Linked DNA regions of Daphnia pulex. The protein of the gene in region 1 interacts with the protein of each later gene in a pairwise test. Links are inferred from orthologs where the notes say so. Each region holds a gene or a part of one and is shown in the gene's direction. Other genes may lie near its edges.

The links.
Region 2: the proteins of neurogenic protein mastermind-like (region 1) and recombining binding protein suppressor of hairless-like interact in a two-hybrid assay, tested with the Drosophila melanogaster proteins (6 studies listed by BioGRID). The link is inferred for Daphnia pulex from reciprocal best matches to the Drosophila melanogaster genes mam and Su(H).

The regions. Positions count from the first base shown.
Region 1 is NC_060024.1:12,902,896-12,912,813, forward strand, and holds the start of neurogenic protein mastermind-like, read left to right. Parts: upstream 1-3,673; 5' UTR 3,674-4,617; intron 4,618-5,751; 5' UTR 5,752-5,893; coding exon 5,894-6,229; intron 6,230-7,562; coding exon 7,563-7,895; intron 7,896-8,032; coding exon 8,033-9,583; intron 9,584-9,918. Other genes in the region: glutamine-dependent NAD(+) synthetase-like, read right to left, coding at 268-432, 502-1,087, 1,173-1,457, 1,527-1,765, 1,836-2,085, 2,169-2,314, 2,386-2,470, 2,531-2,643 and 1 more.
Region 2 is NC_060025.1:8,028,550-8,037,881, reverse strand, and holds the start of recombining binding protein suppressor of hairless-like, read left to right. Parts: upstream 1-276; 5' UTR 277-1,716; coding exon 1,717-1,800; intron 1,801-3,385; exon of another isoform or gene 3,386-3,635; intron 3,636-4,040; exon of another isoform or gene 4,041-4,244; coding exon of another isoform or gene 4,245-4,265; intron 4,266-4,362; coding exon 4,363-4,665; intron 4,666-4,740; coding exon 4,741-5,071; intron 5,072-6,283; coding exon 6,284-6,569; intron 6,570-6,640; coding exon 6,641-6,977; intron 6,978-7,041; coding exon 7,042-7,216; intron 7,217-7,285; coding exon 7,286-7,423; intron 7,424-7,514; coding exon 7,515-7,924; intron 7,925-8,646; coding exon 8,647-8,832; intron 8,833-8,906; coding exon 8,907-9,143; 3' UTR 9,144-9,332. UniProt on the Drosophila melanogaster protein: Transcriptional regulator that plays a central role in Notch signaling, a signaling pathway involved in cell-cell communication that regulates a broad spectrum of cell-fate determinations.

The DNA.
Region 1 (9,918 bases):
CCGGCACCTCTCCAGTTTTCACAGATCAAACAGCCTTAGCATATAAAACCTCCCCTTCCTCCTTTCAGCTCCCCCCCCCCCTCCTCACCCTGACTTTGGTAGCAGTATAAAAAAAAATAAAAAAAGGAAGGATAAAGATTCTCGAGGCGAACCGGGATTCTTCTACATTCTACATGGTAATTCCATTAAAAGCCTAAATGAATAATTCACAAGCTTACATAGTAGTAGTATAGCTGTCGGGCATGAAACGGCTCGATATATACTTACATGAGCGTCAATTGCGCGAAACTGCCATCCCCACTTGGCGTTGTAAAGGAAGGGCCTATGGTCGAAGCGGTTATCATCGGGGCTGTACGTCTCGGCGTGGACGGAAGGCGTAATCACCGTCATTTTATGTCGGTTGATGGCGTAGCAGCGATAAAAATGTTTGACCTTGAAATTGAAACTCTTTTGGTACTAAATTTCCATTTTTTTTCTTTTTATAAAAGAGACATTGTATACTTTGTGTGCGATTTCAGCTGGTGTTCCTGCTCCCCTCCAGCTTTGAATTAGTCGACAGAAAGTGGTGTAAGGCCCACAGGCTGCCTGTTTACGAAGTCGCCCCAAGTCACCCAGCTCGGCGTAAGTTAAACCCATGTCTTCTTCGTCCGTCTGAACTAGACGACCTTCTTGCAAGGGCTCCAATTCGGCAGTCGGCGGAGCTGTCAGAATAGTGTCCAGGGAAGTTAGACAATATTCATTCCGGGCGTATGATAGGAATCGCTTCAAATCCCCTTTGGAGATTCCGCCGATGGGATTAACATCGGCACTGGAGCAATCGTATTTGGTGAGGTAGCCACGCAAAGATTCGTCGACATTGGCAGAACCAAGAACCAACAAACCACCCGATCTGCCCCTGGCCCACAACATCAACTGGGCCAGCAAGTAGCTCAACACCATCCTCATTCGGGCCTGGACGTTTTGCAGGGCAAGGTTTTCTCGCAAACTGCCGCCATCGACTCTGAACTTTGGTACGAGCCCCGTGACGACTGTGAAAATGTTGAGAGCGGCCGAGACAACAGCGTCGATAGCCAGGGTCAAATGATAGCTTATTGGGTGATAAGGAAAAATAATTTAGTGTCTGTTTTTTTGTTTGTGGTGTCAAGTTGGCCAATTAAAAAAAGGTCGTTTACCTTCCCAGCTGGTCAGACAAGTCCTTTGCCCGCTGTCGTGTCTCCGCCGATGAATTGGCGCTGCCCATGTAACAGGTGATGAAAATCCGGTTGCACAGTTCACGAGGATCGTCCGGGATGTAACTGGGATCGCCAACAATACGCCGGACATCGTCGATGGCGTGACTATCGCCATTTTGTACAGAAGTTACCACCATTCGACACATGGAGTAAACTAAAACAGCCGAGGAACTTGAATCGACACCTCCACTCAGAGGTAAGAAAAATCCACCCTGGCCAGACCGCCTTCAAGTAATTTGATGTTCGGTTTAAAAAAAAATGTCATCCTGTTGTTTGAAATGAATTTAAACCAACCTGAGATAGTCCCAGAGCCAGCCGGCAGGACCATAAGCAATCTCCTCTTCAGGACTGTGGTACTGCCATTTGAATGGGGTACTGGAAGCTCTCATAGCGTAGCAGGAAGACTCGCTCAGACTGAAATCGACCGGAATACGACGATACGATGGACTCTGGGCAGCGGCGATGTTTCGAGAACGGACTAAATTGCGGTAAGTTCGTATGTCATCCAAGTCGACAGTGGCTACAGCAACTTCCTAAAGAATAAACCATCGCAAGAAATGATTTTAAAAATATCCAAGTGATACATATTGTGACGAAAATTACCACTTCTTCTAAGGAGAATTGACGCGTTCTAGCGATTGTTTGTCCGTTAAGTGCGATACACGATCCTCCATTAAACATGATACGCTGTCCATCGCAGCCTCTTAAATTTGAGAATAAGTAGCAACCGCCGGACTTTAATGTTGCTTGTAGGACAAGATCGACGGCAACGTTGGCCTTGCGCAACTCAAAGTAGGAACCCGACCCGTTGACGATGAATTCAACGCCGTCCAAACCGAGAGAAATGTGAGTACTACCAAATAGTGTGCATATTGGGTTTTACTGGTCATTAAAACAACAAACAATAATAATATTCATTTGCAAGTACAACTGTACCTGGAGGGATTCCACAATTCTTCACAAATTTCAAAACCTATGGTGGTATCCAAGGTTTCCAGGACTGCATCTCCAAAAACTACAGATTTTTGCCCTGTAAGCTCTCTTATAAACTCTGGCAATATGTAATCCTCTGTTTGGTAAAGCTGTTTACAAAATAATTCACATTTAATTAAGGCCACAGATCCCAAAAACTGGTGTAAAATAAATTTTATACTTTTGTCCAGGCAGTGAACCATCTTGATTCTCTGTAATTGCCATCATCACAGAGTTTCAATTTAGGACGAATCAGCAAGATTTTTCTGCGAAAAGGGGGGTACTGTTTATAAGAAGAGCATAATAACAATAAAACAATTGCTTACCCATTGAAAAAAGCAACTCTGCAATTGTAAGTGACACTCTTGTGCATAACCGGCATGCCAACATCAACTAAAATATTTTTGCATACTGGACTGGCTAATAGTTCAGCCAAAACCTATTTGAGGATCAAAGATCATTTTCTAGATTTCCCAGAAACAAACCGCAGTAAACATAAATCAGAAAAGTGACACGCTAACCTCCCAGCTGTGTAGAAGAGTGTCAGCTTCATAAAAATGATCTTCACAGCTGTATCCTGTGACTTCTAATTCGGGTCCTGTGCGATAACTAGCACCTTGTACTTTTGCTTCTTGGATGCTGGCGATGATGCGTGACAGATTTCCGTCGAAATCCAAAGCCCACTGGTTCAAGCAGCAAACGGCGACTACAACTTTGCGCCCCATGTTCTCCTCGTTGACTGATTTAATACTATTTCCTTTTTACCTTCTTGCCAAGCTGCGGAAATCGACCCAACAGGTTTTTTATTACTTTGCCAATACTAACGTTACCAGAGCAACTGTCAAATCGACAAATCAGCGGGACGGAAGGTTTGTTTTTCTTTTCGCCGAGGTAAACATACAGCATTGCCAGTTTTTGGTAGAAAGTAACTTTTTTTTCCCCTTCCTCCTTTTTTGTGTGTGTCGACGTCTCGACGACCGTTAGTCATTGTGACCTGCAGTGCGGCCTTGGTAGATTTATTATTAAGCATAGGCTTTTTACGAGCAGATTTTCATCAGTTAATGGCATAATAATTTCATCTCCTATTGCCTTACGTATTATTATTACGTGTTTGCATCAAGATGTTGTCTCGTAGCTAATTATTATGCGCGTTTAGCATTGAGAAAATAGCATTTAAGTTATAGAAATGTGACGTTAGTATATCGTTGGTCGCATTGGCCGCTAGATGACAGTTGAGAGGTCAAAAGAAAATAGAAAACAAAAAAAAAATGTGTCCCAATAAAATGAAAATCCAACACACGAAAAATCTAGAAAGAGAGAAGAAGACAAAAAAAAATTATTTTCAAGTAAGACGCGCGGCCGAAACTGTAAACGAAAGCGGAGGGAAGGGAGGAAATCAGGATGAAAGGAGAGAGGCGAAAGAGAGAGGAAAGAAAACGGGTGGCGTCTGCAGCCGTGGCCGCTGTGGCGCTGTCTGTCGGGGAAGAGCCCGAGTCTCTCCCTCTCTCTTTTTTCTTTCTTTTCTTTTTTCGCTTGGCTTTTCCGTTGGCTTTTCAAGTGAAATGTGGTCAAATCCGTCTCTCTCCTGTTAATACGGAAAGTCGTCATTATTGAGCTTTCTCTCTTAAAAATAAATGTATATTCATCAACTTGGACGTTTCTATCGAATTTCAGTCGAATATTTTCCAACGTTTGAATTACGTGGTGTAGCGCCACGTAAAATAAAATAGATATCCCCCCCACCCCAACTGAAAAAGCAGACACACATTTTGACGTGTGCTTGACTACGAGTATCAAGGTGCCGACGGCTAACAGCTCCGAACGGCTGGGGCTGGGGGGACTCTCCAAGCCAATGTGGCAATTGTGTTCAGTCGAAGTTGCTGCTGAACGAGAACGAGACGTATCTCTGAAACTTCTCCGAACAAAATCATTTTTTTTCCCCCTCTTCTTCGTCAATCACACACACAAACACACCAAATCCCCGACGAAATCGATCTCTCTCTCTCACTGGTGTCGTGTGTGTTTCTCCCTCAATTTCGACGAATAATTAGTCTTGGAAAAAATCGCCATTACTCCCCACCACAAAAAAACGTTCAAATGACTCAATCGATTGGCTTTCTTTTTTTCGAAAATTGAATTCTCGGTGTGTCTGTGCTGCCGAGTCTCTTTTTTATTTTTTGGCGCAAGCATAAACTTTGGTGGGGACATATATCCAACGAGTGTGTTACGTGTTGGACGTGTGGTGTGTGTGTGGTGTGTGTTGCAGTGTCTGTGTGTCGACTGGAATCTGGCCAAAAGCAAGCCGAGTCTCGTGTCTTGGATTATTGCACAATTTAAGACTTACCACTTACTCACTACTACCACATACCTCTAACCTCATCTCTGCGGATCTATTCAAACTCGGCACATGCAGGTATGCAATCATCATTTCTTGTGGGATGGGGGGGGGGAGAGAAAATTTCGCCAACAAAAATGGCGTGTGTGGAATGACACATGTGCTTTCTTAAAATATTGTTGTAACCTGTTGAGTGAGTATAAGTTGAGTAACCATCCGGTCATAGAGACAATTGATTGCATGTAATAATCATCATGCCGGTTGTTTTCTTGGGGGATTTTTGTATTTTTTGACCGAATTGGTTTTTGGGGGGACCTTCCGCCCGCGTCACTATCAAACCGCACACACACAACACCAGCGTGAGATTGCAATCAATATTTCACTCTCTTATGTCTGTGTGTGTGTGTGTGTATAGGAGGATGCATCGAAAGGGGGGGTCAAAACGTGTTGGTCATATATATTCCCAGCGTCTGTGTGTTTTGATTTCCAGTCAACGTCCATTTTTAGGTTTTGTTCATTGAGGAGCCCCATACACACACACACTGAGAAATTTGAATGGTTGAGGGTTTTTTATTTCACAGTGAGGGGAACAAGCCCCAGCATATATTTCGAACCTGGGGTTGTTTCCGAAGGGTGTGTGTGGTTGTGTGTGGGGAGAGAGAAAATATTTTGTCTCTCCCCTTCCTCTTTTCTTTTATGTTCATCTTTCAGTTTTTCCCAGTTAGTGACGCGTCAAGTGGTTGTTAACCCGCTCGCTAGGTGGTGTTGTTTGACAAGCGCGCGAGAAACTCCCTTTCGAAATGTGTGTGTGTGTGGAGGAAGGGGGGACTCGACTGGGAGGGGTAGGGAAAGCAGTAGACACAAGGCCATCATTTGGAAACCCATCGTCTCATTACACAAGTGGTGGCCCTTTTTTTTCAAAAAAAAATATAAAAGTATTGTGTTCAAAGAGTTTTTTCTTTCTTCGGGTTGCAATTCAATTTCGATATCAGAGAGAGAGAGAGAGTTTCCAGGGAAAAACAAAAGTTCTGGTACATACTACTGGGAAATCTATAAATTCCAAGTGTTTGAAAGAGTCCAAGGTTATTGTGTGTTTTATAGTTTTTATATCACGACCTTGTGGATGTTTGTCTGTCTGTTCTTAACGTCAATTTTTAGTATTCCTTGTTTGTTTGACGAATGATTTAATAACGTGATATTTTGCAATTGCAGGTTGATTCAGCATGAAAACAGGCCATGTTGTGGAAAGATTAAAGCATTCGAGTAGCAGCAGCAGCAGCAGCAGACTGGAGCCTCAACGGATGTGGAGCTAAGAGCGGGGCAGCCAATAAGATTATTGGTTGCGTGCGGAGTAATGTCGGAGGTGCTGCCTCCGAAACGTCAGGCGGCCGTGGATCGACTGCGGAGGCGAGTCGAAGTCTACACCAAGGATCATCAGGATCGATTTATGCACTATGATCGAATCGGACCGGCCTTGTGCGAACAGCAAATGCAAGAGTCGTTCGCATTGAAGCAAAAGTATCTCGACCCCAAAGCCAAAAAGACGAGTAGCAACAGCAAGAGCAATAAAAGCAGCAGCAGCAGTAGCGGCGGAATTAATAACAACTCAACTACTAATACCGGTGGTGGTCCGTCCAGCACCGAACGTACAAAACCGGCTACGGAGACTCACGCCGGCAACACGCAGTCGGTAAGAAACAAACCATCGAAATCTTTTTTACTCTCTTTTTTTTATTACTATCCCTATCATCGATCCCTTGACTCCTTGTGCGACGCTCCTGTAAGGAGTTGCTCTTTGTCTCTCTGTGTGTGTGTGGTGCCCACCAGCTGAATCATTGATTCCCGCTACCCCTTCCGCACCCCTACTACTACACTACTCCCGCTCCTCTTGGGTAGGAGAAATAGAAAATGTCTTACGTACAAAAATGTGATGGACTTTTGCGTGAGAAAATAGCGCCAAGATTATTATAACTGCACTGGAAAGAAAAAGAAAAAACCCGTTAAACAGATGCGATCAAAAGAGGTCGTTCACCACCATCACCGGTAGCGAAACCAGCGCAAACGAACCCATTTCTTTTCTTTCTGTGGGGGGGAGGAGGATGTGTCCCGCAATTTAACCGGTGCGCGCTGTGTGTATATTTCAACACAAGAAACCCCGAAATAGAAGAATTATAATGCTCATTGTATTTTTGGTAGGAAATATTTTTGAGAAAAATATAGAAATCATGTGATGATCGGGTCAAGCGCTTTCGTGTGTTTGTGTGTGTCGGTGACCTCATTGTCCTGTATTTTGCCATCGAGGATGTTAGGTGTGTAGAGGAATGGCCGTACAGTAGAGGAGGAACCTACACACAAGGTTCTTTGACCGTGTAGAGAGAGAGGGGGGAAGAAAGGTATTGAACCTCGGGGCAGAATGAGAGGAAGAAGAAGAAAGAAGAAGAAGAGAACTGTCGCGCTCTCTCTCTCAACTTCTTGTTCGTCGTGTCGGACCAATCAGCGGCGTTGATGCGAGCCATCACTGATAGAGTGTGTACTACTACACCAGCGCACTCGGGGTAGGGGCTCTCGGTTCGGTCACGGGGTGGTCCAGGTAGCCAATAGGGAGGGCCGGAATCTCTCTCTACACACACTGTGAGATATCCCGGAGATGGGGGTGGTGTGTTAAGGACTTGGCCCACCTCCTTCTCTTCTCTTCTCTCTCGTCTAACTCCGCCGCGAACTATTGATCCCCTTTTTGGCTGTGGATAAAAAGAGGACTAGTACCACCACACACACACCACCCTTCCTAACTCTCCTTGACTGTCCGCCTCCTACTCCGCCAAAAAAGAAGAGTGAAGGGGGGGCTTTGACTCCCTATTTTCCCCTCTTCTTCTTCCGACATTCGATTATCGACCCGGCAACCATTTTCTTCTCCCTCTTTTATTTTATTTTTGTCTTGCAACACATTTCAAACATATTTTGGTTGGGGAAATCAATCAATCAATAATTTTTAAAAAAACTGACAATTATGTTTTGTTTATTAGAATAAGTACGGGAAGCGTCCGCTGGACGAGAGCGGAGATGGAGGAGGGAGTGAGTCCAGCGGGATGAACGGATCATCATCCCAAAATCAAAATCAACAAAATCACTCCTCCTCCACTTCGTCGTCGTCGACGTCGGGCGGCGGCGACGGACCACCGGCCGCCAAGATCCAATGCACGACGACGACGACGGCTAGCTCATCGGCGACGGCCTCTGGTGGCGGCCCAGCCAAATTCTCGGTCGAAATCGTTCAGCAGCTCGAGTTCACCGCTAGCGCCAGCGGCGCCACCAGCGTCTCTGTCAAGACGCTCACCAACACATCCGTCAAGAGCGAGGTGAGTTATTTCAATGATGATGATGATTATCAATGACGCTCATCCGGTCATTATCCAGTCACACACACACAAAAAGAGAAAACGACGAATTGAATTTTTATTTTAAAAAATGTTTGGTGTGTTTTTTTTCTCCCTAGACTCAGGTGTCGCCATCCAACGGCCAAGATGGCCCGCCCGAAATGAAAAAGGAGAAACGATGCGACACGCCCGACTTTATGGCGGAATTGAACGGCGACTCTGATGAAACGGCGGCCGATTTAGCCAATTTGGAGCGTTTCATCTCGGAGGACACGTCGGATGGAATCATCAATGCGGATACGTTCAAAGATCTGATCTCAGAGATACACGATCTGCCTCCTGAATTTATGGAGGAATTCGATTTCGACACGACAGACACCAACATCAAAAGTGGCGGACTCTTGTCCGATCCATTCGGCGCTCCTTTGGTATCCGACGGATCTCGCACGGTCGACTCCATCGTCTCACGACTCAAGCAGGAAGAGGTGGAAGCGGCCGACCGCGAAATCCAGGCAGCCATGCTGGATATCGGCAAATCGATGAGCATGAACGCCCAGTCGAGTAGCAGTTCCAGTAGCTGCAACAACAACAACACGTCATCATCCATCTTGACGACGAGTATAACGACATCCAGTTGCAGTACGGCCACCCTATCATCGACATCAACTGGATCATTTAACAACAACAATCCGACTGGGATTGCTCCAGGGCCGTTTGTTGATACCTCCAAAAGCACCCCGCCCATCCAGCATCAACAGCAGCAGCAGCAGCAGCAAAGAGTGGACAACAGTGCTGCCGTCGCTGGTGGTGGCAATGGCATGAATAATCGGCAAATGCCGCAACCATTTGGAGTCAATTCCGGTGGCCCGGAACTCAGTCCGGCCGCGTTGACATTGAAGCAAATGGCGGAGCAACATCAACACAAAGCTCAGATGGGTATGACTCCGGCGGCCATGAATCAGGCCTCGACAGGTCTCTCTGCGCCCCCGACAATGGCCAATCAAGGTGCACCTTTGGTTCCTCCCCACCATCCGCCTGTCGTCAACAACATGCGGATGCGGGGCAATTTCCAAGACCAGCAGCAGCAACACCAACAACAGCAGCAGCAGCAGCCTCAGCAACAACCGCAGTACAACAATCCATCCGCACAAGGCCCAACCCAGCAGCAGCAGCAACAACAACAACAGCAGCAAGCGAATCAGTTCATGAATCGAACGCCGTACACGGGCCAAGGTGGCTACGGTCCCAATAGTCCAATGATCAAGAAGGAAATGCCCTATTTTGCCAATTCGCCCTTGGGAGGCAACAGCCCCGGACCTGGGCGACCAGTCCAACAACAACAACAGCATCAACAACAACAGGGCATCCCCGGTAGCCAACATCAAGTCCCTGGTGCCAAATCATCACCTGTTCCAATGAGCCAGACAAGCCCAATGGGACCACCTACCCCTCAGCAAATGCAACAACAACAACAGCAGCAACAACAATTCAACGCTCGAAAAGCGCCAACGCCGACGAGTACAACTGCAAGTGGCAATAACACGAGCGGTAACAGCGGTCGGACACCTCCGCCATCAGCTGCTGGACCGGGCAGCGTCCAGTTTAGCCAAACTCAACAGCAACAGATGCACATGAGTAGCAGCGGAGGCAACAACGGTCAACAAATCCAGGTAATTCCGAATTTTTAGTCGTTGTAGGGTGGTGGGGGGAGATATGCCCCCATTTCTTCATGACAATAGAGGTCGAGTGTAGTAAGTAGCAGGAGGACAGAGAGACTCCAGCAGGAGGAGGAGGAGGTATTCGTGGCATGGATATATAACCCTCAAGGTCAGTTGGGTAGAGAGCAAAGCGCGCGCGCTCACTCACTCGGCCGAGCACAGAGACCCCTTAAAAATGGCCCGCAGCGTCTAACTTTTACTAACTAACATACGGAGGCAGCAGCAGCAGAAACGTCGCCGGATGTGTCGCCCCTCTCTTTTTTAATTCTTTCATTCCTTCATTCTCT
Region 2 (9,332 bases), on another chromosome or scaffold:
ACCCCAACAAGCCCCCACCTCTTATATACGTTAGGAGCATTAGGAGCAGCCACCTCTGTACACCGCCTCTGACCTCTTGACGAGGTGCTCTTGTGGAGCTGCTCACCGTTCCACTTGTTGCCATTTTTTTCTCACGGCCCCTTACGTACCTGCCGCCCGATTGCCAGCGCATCGTGACGTGATCGACGAGTCGCAATGGGAAATTTATTTTCCTTCATCATCGTCCAAAATTTGAATTTTTGTTTTGTCTACTTTTCTTGTCAAATTTTTTCGTTCAAAATTTTTTTTAAATTTCGAACTGGTCAAATGGCCCGAGAAATGTTAGAACGGTGGGAGGAGCTTAGTTTTTTGGTTAAAAATAAGGAAGGTGGAGGGGAGGAGGAGGAGGAAGCGGGTTTTCAACACCAACCCCACTTTGTGTGTGTGTGTGTCTCCTTTCCGTGGATGCTCGACTCCGACGTCGTTCTCACACATTTGCGTCGGCGGGAAAAACTTTTTCTTTTTCTTTTTTTATTATGTCTTTCTTTTTATTTGATATTTATTTCGACTCTCCTTGTTGTTGTGTTCCCATCAGTTGGTTTTTTTCTTTCTTCTATTTTTACCTTTTGCGGAAGGAGCTTCTTCTCCTTCAATCCATCGTCCCGCGTGTTACCGCACAAACACGTGTGTGACGTCATTTCAAATGGTATGGTGGGGGGATATCTTTGTTGTTTCTTCCTTTTTGGCTACGCCACTTGTTGCCGAACGAAGTAAGACTCGAAAAAGAACGTCGACTAAATTTTTGGTTTTTTCCCACGTTATGCTCGCGTTACAACTTCCCCTTTAGCTCCGGCATCTCCATGTCTGTCTTTTTTTTTAAAGGGAGTGAGGGGGTCATTATTCAGTTTTATGCGGATGAACCCCCCTGCTCTACACTACACCAAATGACACGCCCTTGATGTGTTTGAACCCGACGACAAATTAATGGGAATTTCAGCGCATCTCTTGAAATTTTTATTTTTCAATTGGGATGTAGGCCCAAATTCCTTCCCCCCCCGATAAAATAATTAGACGTTTGATTCATCGGATTCCCCCACAGATCCCCCATGGTGTGTGCATATTCATTTACCACCCGTATTTATTAATTTGAATAATTCAGTTCGATCAAATTGGAATTGAATTGAAATAGGAAAAAATCAGTTGGGGGACTTTTTGGATCAAAGGGATTATTACGTGGAGCAGATTGCTGTGTAAATCTATTGGAGTCTATTTAAAAAGTTGTACAACAAAAGACAGACCTCCCCCACCCGATGACGCTTTCAACTCCCCCCTCCTTCCTCTTGTGTGTCCGTTTTGCTGGGGGTAGTAGGAGGAGGAGGAGGTACAGCTGCACACATAGTGTGTCTGTGTGCTCGGGACCTACCCTCCTCCCCCTATACACTCCACCCTAGGTGAAAAGGGGGCAGCCGCCGCCGCCGTCGTCGTCGTTGGGTAGAAAATGTTCAGTTTAGTTGCACGACGGTTGGACTGGAATCAGCACGCGCCCAGTGGCCGTCCTTGTCTCGTAACATCCGTCGATCTCAACGGAATTTGGTTTATCTCGTCGCCTAGTGTTTTTCGGTTTATCCAGTGAATTTGGTTTTGGACACATGTGACGCTTTTTAGCCATTGACAATCGTCAACATTTTTCGCAGTGAAATATTGGAACGAAGTTTTAATAAAAGAAATTTGGACAAAATGCCCGACGTTGCGCCCAGCTCAATGGACCTCGACTCGGAGCCCTACACACCCAGCGCACGTAGTCCGCTCGCCGATACTTGGGTATTTAAAAAAATAATAATAAGGAAGAAAATTTGAAGTTTTCCAAGTTTTGTGTTTGCCGACTCGTGTTGATATTGGCGGCAATTTTCAAACGTTTGAAATTCTTTTGATTTTATTTTTACTGGGTCGATGATAAGAATCTTACGACGATGATGATTATGTCGGCGATAAGGAATGTGTCTCAGACTCAATGACACACACACACACACAGACATGCGTAACCGGTGATATCGTGTGAAAAAGAGAAGCCGACTTGTGTCAACATCACGATTTTCAGTTATAGGCAATTCCCGATTTTTACGACTTTGGCTGTCGTCCACGATTATTTCCTGTCCGGTAGCCCGTTTATTTTTTATTTATTTTTTTCCTTTTCTTCCCGGCATCTTTTTATTGGATCCGAATTCAATTCTCCTTGAATTTCGATCGGATAAAAAAAAATGATCAAATTTCGAACAATTTGAAAATTTTGAATTTGGCGCGCTCCGCTCGAATTTTGTTTACACACGTGAGTGTGTGGGAAAAAAAAAAACTTTTCTTCTGTTGTTGTTGATTATGTATTTGCTCCCCCCCCCCTTCCTCTGATATTAAAAGCCAGTATAGAGAGGTAACAGTTAGTACATGAGCTTTAGTGTGTGGGTTTTGAAAGAGAAAAAAATAAGCAGGGCGGAAGGATGTGCCCGCCGGGGTTTGCGGAGGAGGTCATTTATACATACAAAAGGTTAGTCTCTGTGTGTGTAGTGACTACCGTACTACTACTACACTACTACTATGTCTATATAGTAGCCACCACCACCACCAGCGGGACTGTGTTTTTCATTTTCCCAGACGGCCAAATTCTTTCCCACGAACCGGGGCGGGTTTGGTGGGTGCATGGGTACATGGGTCGAGGTTTTGATCACAACTCTCCTATACATTCTCCCCCCCCCCCTTTCCCCCCACTCATTTTTGTGGGGGTTCACACACAAGAAACTTTTTCAATTGACATTCCATCGGGCCTCGCCCAGCAACTGCACAGCCCAGCACTGAACAACTTGGTAGTTTCTCCTCTCTTAGAAAAGTGATGGCGATTCGTATTACCGATTCCCAGATCGGTTTACTTTTGGCTGCTCAACATCTAAATTACAAAAGATCTCTCATTTTTCAAATGCTTCGCCAAATCAATTTTCATTTGGGTGACTACAAGTGTCTGTCCGTCTGTCTGTCTGGACGGACTTAACATTTAAAAAGTTGAGTTGCTTTTGTTTAACTTTTTGATTTCGGGTTGATTTCTTGACAAGAATCTAACAAATTGGAGATAACACACACACACACAGAGACGGAAAGAGTTAACGAGAGCCTTCTAAAGTGTCTAGTGTGTTTGTGTGGGAACCGCCGGCGGCCATCTCTTTCAAAAAACTTTTTTTTTCTTTTTTACTTCTTGTTCAACACAAGAGGGGAAAAACAACAAAAAATGTGTGTGTATTTCGTACTATATACCCTTGTGTGTGTGCACTGGTTCAAACAATTTGTTCTTTTAAAAAATAGAAAGAAGAGGGGAGAGCCCCTTATTTTAAAAGAAAAAGGTCATCCGATCCCTTCTCTCTTATTCAAAAAAAGATGCCTCGAGAGAAACCGTATAGAGAGTAGAGAGGAGCTAGGATACATAGAGAAGAACAACCCACCAACTTCATTTGCCTGCCGGAGACTGTGGGAAACGGTCACTTTTTCAAACGCACTCTGCACTCGACCAACTTTTGAGTTGGAAAATATTTTTTTTCAAGTTTGAATTTCCCTCCCTGCACAATGTTGTCCAGTGAATTTGTTTCTATACGCCAAGGATTATTCATCATCGATCGGTAACAAAAACTTACGTCATCTGATTTTTGAAAAAAATGTTTCTTTAAAATCTAGTGCACGTGGAGATTTATGGATATTATTCTCTCCCAGAGTCTATTTCTTTTTCGGTCGGCTCTGTTATCCTCGACGTCATTCAATGTGTATACATAGCGAAGTGGGTGACGGGGTGGGGGGTGGAGAGAGAGAGAGTGAAAAGCGTGTGGGAATCGGCGCACCTGTCGACGACGTCGTCGTCGCTTTAGCCACCGAGTGGCTCTCAACGCGCACGTCCAAAATGCCGTGCCAGGCCAAAACGTCTCTCGGGGAGGGGATGAAATTATTTTTTTCTTTTTTCTCTTCACGTCGTCGTCGTATTCGTCGTCGTCGGGTCAAGTGTGAAATAACAACCGACACTGTAACGCAGCCCAGCGGGACAGTAGGACTCGGGCCGAGCATCAAGCCGGTCTCCCTTTCAACTCTGGAAAAAAACAATTTCATTTTTGTTTCGAATTCAATCGGCCGTTTCGTTATTTTCATTGGGACAATGTGTCGCCATTTTCTCGATTGATTGATTGTTTTTGGATCAGATAAGATTTTTTGGATAGTTTCTTATTGATTAGATTTGAATTATGCCTCTAGCTAAGCCGTTGGTGAGTCGAGTCGAGCGTTTTTGGTTTATTTGGTTATTGGCGTGGAAATTTAAAAACGAAACTTTGTTTTAATATTTTGATTGAATTTTTCCGACAGGCCCATTACGGGTTCAGTTTAAGTGGCGGTTACGAGGCCCAGCACAGCCGCGAGTCTGTGGATTTGATCGGCGGAGTCAACAACAGTGTGGCCGTGACATCGGTGGCCGGAACGGTCGGCTCATCCGGTTCGACAGTCGTCGGCGTGGGACACGGAAGCGGCGGCGAGGTGGACGTTTGGTCCAATTCGCACGATCCTTATTCGCCCCACAATCACCACCACCATCAGCAGCAGCAGCAGCAACAACAACATCACCACCAGCATCATCACCAGCAACAACAACATGCCGCTTATTACGGACAGGTAACATCCAATCAACTTTAAACTTTTCAAATTCCATTCCGTTTGCAACTTTTCATTTTATTTTCCTTCAAACAGTCTGTGGGTGGAGGGCAGGTGATGACGGAATTGCTGACAGCTACTCATCCGCCGTCTTCTTACAACCTCAACCAGCCTCAACAACAACAACAGCAGCAACAACAACAACAACAACCGTTCACGCCTACCGAGCAGCACCCGGTCGATTTGTCGAATTCTCAGCAACGACCTCCCAATCCGGCCGTTTCAGCCGCCACTTCGGCCGCCTTCTACGGTCTCTCGGCCGCCGACTACAACAGCCCCGCAACCTCGTCCAGTCAACGTCAGCGCGGAGGCAACGACACCTACAAACCCAACGGGCTCAGCCTCTCGCTGGGCATCCCCGATTCCGGTAAATATTAAAAGTCAAAACGAATAAATAATTTCAAAGCATATTGTCGTCATCATAATGCGGAGTGGTGGATGAGGGGGAGAGTCTATCGGTCACGGACCCTCCCTTCTCTTTCTTTCTCCCCCCGGAATAAAAAGATGGTCACCATGTGTTGGATATCGATTTGCGGAACTCGAGTGTTTTCAACGGTGGATTCAGGGAGTGGGGGAGTGAGAGTAGGTGAAGGAGTAGTAGTACTAGTTCCATCAGCGTTGCACACTCGATCGATTTATCGGCCAGAGAGAAGCAAATGCATTTTGCATTAAAGCGTTGAATCGTCTCCATACATATAACTTTGTATATGTATACCCTACACACACACACTCATAAGCCCACCCTTTTCGGTTTGGAACCCCCCAGACACCCCTCCTTCCTCCTCCCTCTTATTCCATCCGCAACATCAAATATAGCCAAGCGTGGGAACTCAACCGGGCGCTTGCAGGTGTCGTTGATCCTCTCTCCTCCCTTCCTCTGTATGAATGTGTCTGGGGCGCACTGGTACACACACGCGGAGGAGCGCTTGTCAAATTTGTTATTTGGACCGGGACTAGTAGGAAGCGATAAAAGAAAATTGTCATCATTTTTAAATGGGGAAGAATTTCAGATGACATTTGATTTGAAAAAAGGGTAGACGAACGAGATGTTGTTGGGAAAAATATGGAAGGCCCCATGTAATATTCATCTAAAAAATAGAGAAGCCCATCCGTCCATCCGCCGACTAGTTTTTCATCTTTTTTCGGATGTTTGTCTATGTATGTGCGAATTGTTGCAGCCGGGGAGGGTGAAAATCTTTTGTTTTCCTTCTTTTTTCTTCTAAAAATGGGAGGGTTTGTGTGTGCAGAGAGAGAGAGAAGGACATGGCAATGTGCCGACTTGTGTGTCTAATCTTGTGCAGCTCGCACCCACTGCTCCGTTTCCCACGGCTTTTCTTTTACTTTTCCCAGTTGCAGAGTCGATCGCCCTAGAACGCTAAAAGTTTGTTTTGTCTTTTCTCTTTTTCTTTTATTTAAAAAAAAAAAGACACACGAGGAAATCTTTTGTTTTTTGACTGATGTGAGCGGCACAGATTCGACAAAATCTTCCAAACAGATATTGTTTGTCTATTTGATTCATTTGGAGGACATTTTGATCTCGATCGGAAATTTTAATTTTGAATTGTTTGTTTTTTGACAGTTGTCGGAGCGGGCGGATTGATTCCGGGCTCTTTGACTCCACCGGACAAGGTGGTGGGAGCATCCGGCGATTTGAGCGGCGGTCATTTGCTCAATCAGCAACAACAACAACACCATCATCACCAGCAGCAGCAGCAGCAGGGGGCTCAGCAACAACAACAGCAACAACAACAACATCATAACCCTTACGCCCTGGCGCATCCCAGTTCGGCCATGGCTCCGACTCTGCAGACTCCGCCGTCGCCTCTTTCGACTCCGTCGCCACCGGTGCCCATCGATCGATACGGGTAAGTCGCCGTCATTATTATTATTATTCCGGATTAGTTTGATTGAATGAATTATTTATATCAAATAATAGGCCGACCGGATCGGCGTACAGGGGCGGAACCAAGGAGCAGCGGCTGACCCGTGAGGCGATGATGCGCTACCTGCAGGAGCACGGCGACATGGTCGTGGTCATCCTGCACGCTAAAGTGGCCCAGAAGTCGTACGGCAACGAGAAGCGCTTCTTCTGCCCGCCGCCGTGCATCTACCTCTACGGCGACGGGTGGCGGAGGAGGCGCGAGGCCATCCAGCGCGAAGCCGCCGCCAACGGGGCCTCGCCCGCAGAAGCCGAAGCCGCCTCGCAGCTCTGCGCCTTCATCGGCATCGGCAACTCTGATCAGGACATGCAGCAACTCGACCTCAACGGCAAAGTAATTTTCAAATTTTAACCAATTCCGGAATTTTTTATTCATTGGGAATTTTGATTTCTGGCAGAGTTATTGCGCGGCCAAGACGCTGTTCATTTCCGACTCGGACAAGCGCAAGCATTTCATGCTGTCGGTGAAAATGTTTTACGGCAACGGCCAGGATATCGGCGTCTTCCACAGCAAGCGGATTAAAGTCATTTCCAAACCGTCCAAGAAGAAGCAGTCGCTCAAGAACGCCGATCGTGAGTGTTTTGATTCTTATTTTTTCAGTTCTCGATTGACTTAACATCTGACTGTGTAAAAATTCCCAGTGTGCATCGCCAGCGGGACCAAAGTGGCCCTGTTCAATCGACTCCGCTCGCAAACGGTCAGCACTCGTTACCTGCACGTGGACAATAACAATTTTCACGCCAGTTCCACCCAATGGGGCGCCTTCACCATTCACTTATGTGAGCATCTACTACAAAAATTCCGCCATTTGTTTCTCGACTTAACTGAAAACAAAAATAAAATGTTTTGATTTCAATTTTGTTTCGGCAGTGGACGACAGCGAATCCGAGTCGGAAGAGTTTACGGTGCGCGACGGCTACATCCATTACGGCAGCACGGTCAAGCTGGTGTGCAGCGTGACGGGCATGGCCCTACCCCGGCTCATCATCCGCAAAGTGGACAAGCAGATGGCCGTTTTGGACGCCGACGACCCCGTCTCGCAGCTGCACAAGTGCGCCTTCTACATGAAAGACACGGAGCGGATGTACCTGTGCCTCAGCCAGGAGCGCATCATCCAGTTCCAGGCGACGCCGTGCCCCAAGGAGCCCAACAAGGAAATGATCAACGACGGAGCCGCCTGGACCATCATCAGCACCGACAAGGCCGAGTACCAGTTCTACGAGGGCATGGGACCCGTCCGCAGTCCCGTCACCCCTGTCCCCATCGTCCACTCGCTACACGTGAGTCCCTTTTTCAGCTGTCGATTGCGTTTTTCTTGTTTTATTGGCGTCCGATTCGTCAATGAGATAAAAGTTGGAAAAATTTGACGGGAGGCTAAGCGACAGGAGATAAGATACAAAAATAAAGAAATGCCCCAATGGCGTCGGGCAGGATGGAAAATAGGCGTGAGAATGCCAGACGGACCTTCTCACGCTCGGCCCCCGAGACGAAAAAATTGTGACAAGGGAGGGGTTAGCTTCTTTTTTCAACTGATGTTCTTCTTCCTTCCTTCCTTCCTTCTTTCTTTTCGTTCTTCACTTCTTCTTCTCCTTTCTTGTTATATTATCCAATTTGGGTGGCGAATGCGTTCCCACGGGAAAACTATGCGAGCGATTTGTTGTCGCTGCTGCTGCTGCTGTTCAGAGTCCTTTTATCCCGTTCACCTCCTCCTACTCTTACTTGGTCTTCTTTTTCGTTTTTTTTCCCACACATTTGTTATATCGTTGACCGTCGCAGGTTGACCACCAACCAACCGACCACTACAATCAACGCTGGATGGCACCAACAAAGCGGAACGCCAATTTTCCACAACTATCCTCATCCTCCCTCCCAAACATTTTTTTTTGTTTCATTATTTTTAAATTAAAAAAAGAATCCCGCTAGTGCCGACGTCAACCATATTTTTTTGTTTTAGTCCGTCCTAGTCCGTCAATTTAATTTTTGCCTTTTCGTATTTTCATAGTTGAACGGTGGCGGCGATGTGGCCATGTTGGAGCTGATGGGCGAAAATCTGACACCCAATTTGAAAGTGTGGTTTGGCGACGTGGAGGCCGAGACCATGTTCCGCTGTGAGGAGTCGATGCTGTGCGTCGTGCCCGATATTTCAGCTTTCCGTTCCGGTTGGCAGTGGGTCCGCGGACCGACTCAGGTACTTTTCATTTTCATTCCGTTTTGTCTTTTCTTATTTTTTCCAGATTTATTGATGTCATTTTTTTTTCGTAGGTTCCCATATCTTTGGTGAGGAGTGACGGTGTCATCTACGCCACCAGGTTGACGTTCACCTACACACCGGAGCCTGGACCGAGGCCGCATTGCCCTCCGGCCCAGGAAGTCTTGCAGCGCGGGGTTGTAGCCGGATCTAACAATGCCGTCAATCCGATGGCACTCGGCTACGACAACCAACACATGCATCATCAACAACAGCCGCAACAACAGCAACAACACCACCAGCCAATGTGAAATTAGAGAGGAACAAAAAAGAGAAACTTTTTGTGACGGCCCGGAAGAAATATTTGGTTAGTTTGTTTTTCTTTTTTTTTTTTCTCCGACACAAAACAAAAAAAACCCTACAATTCCAAAATGTTGTTTTGTGTCCTGGGCGTGTTGACTTAGATTTGTTGTGTGACGATTCTCCTTTTTAATTTACCT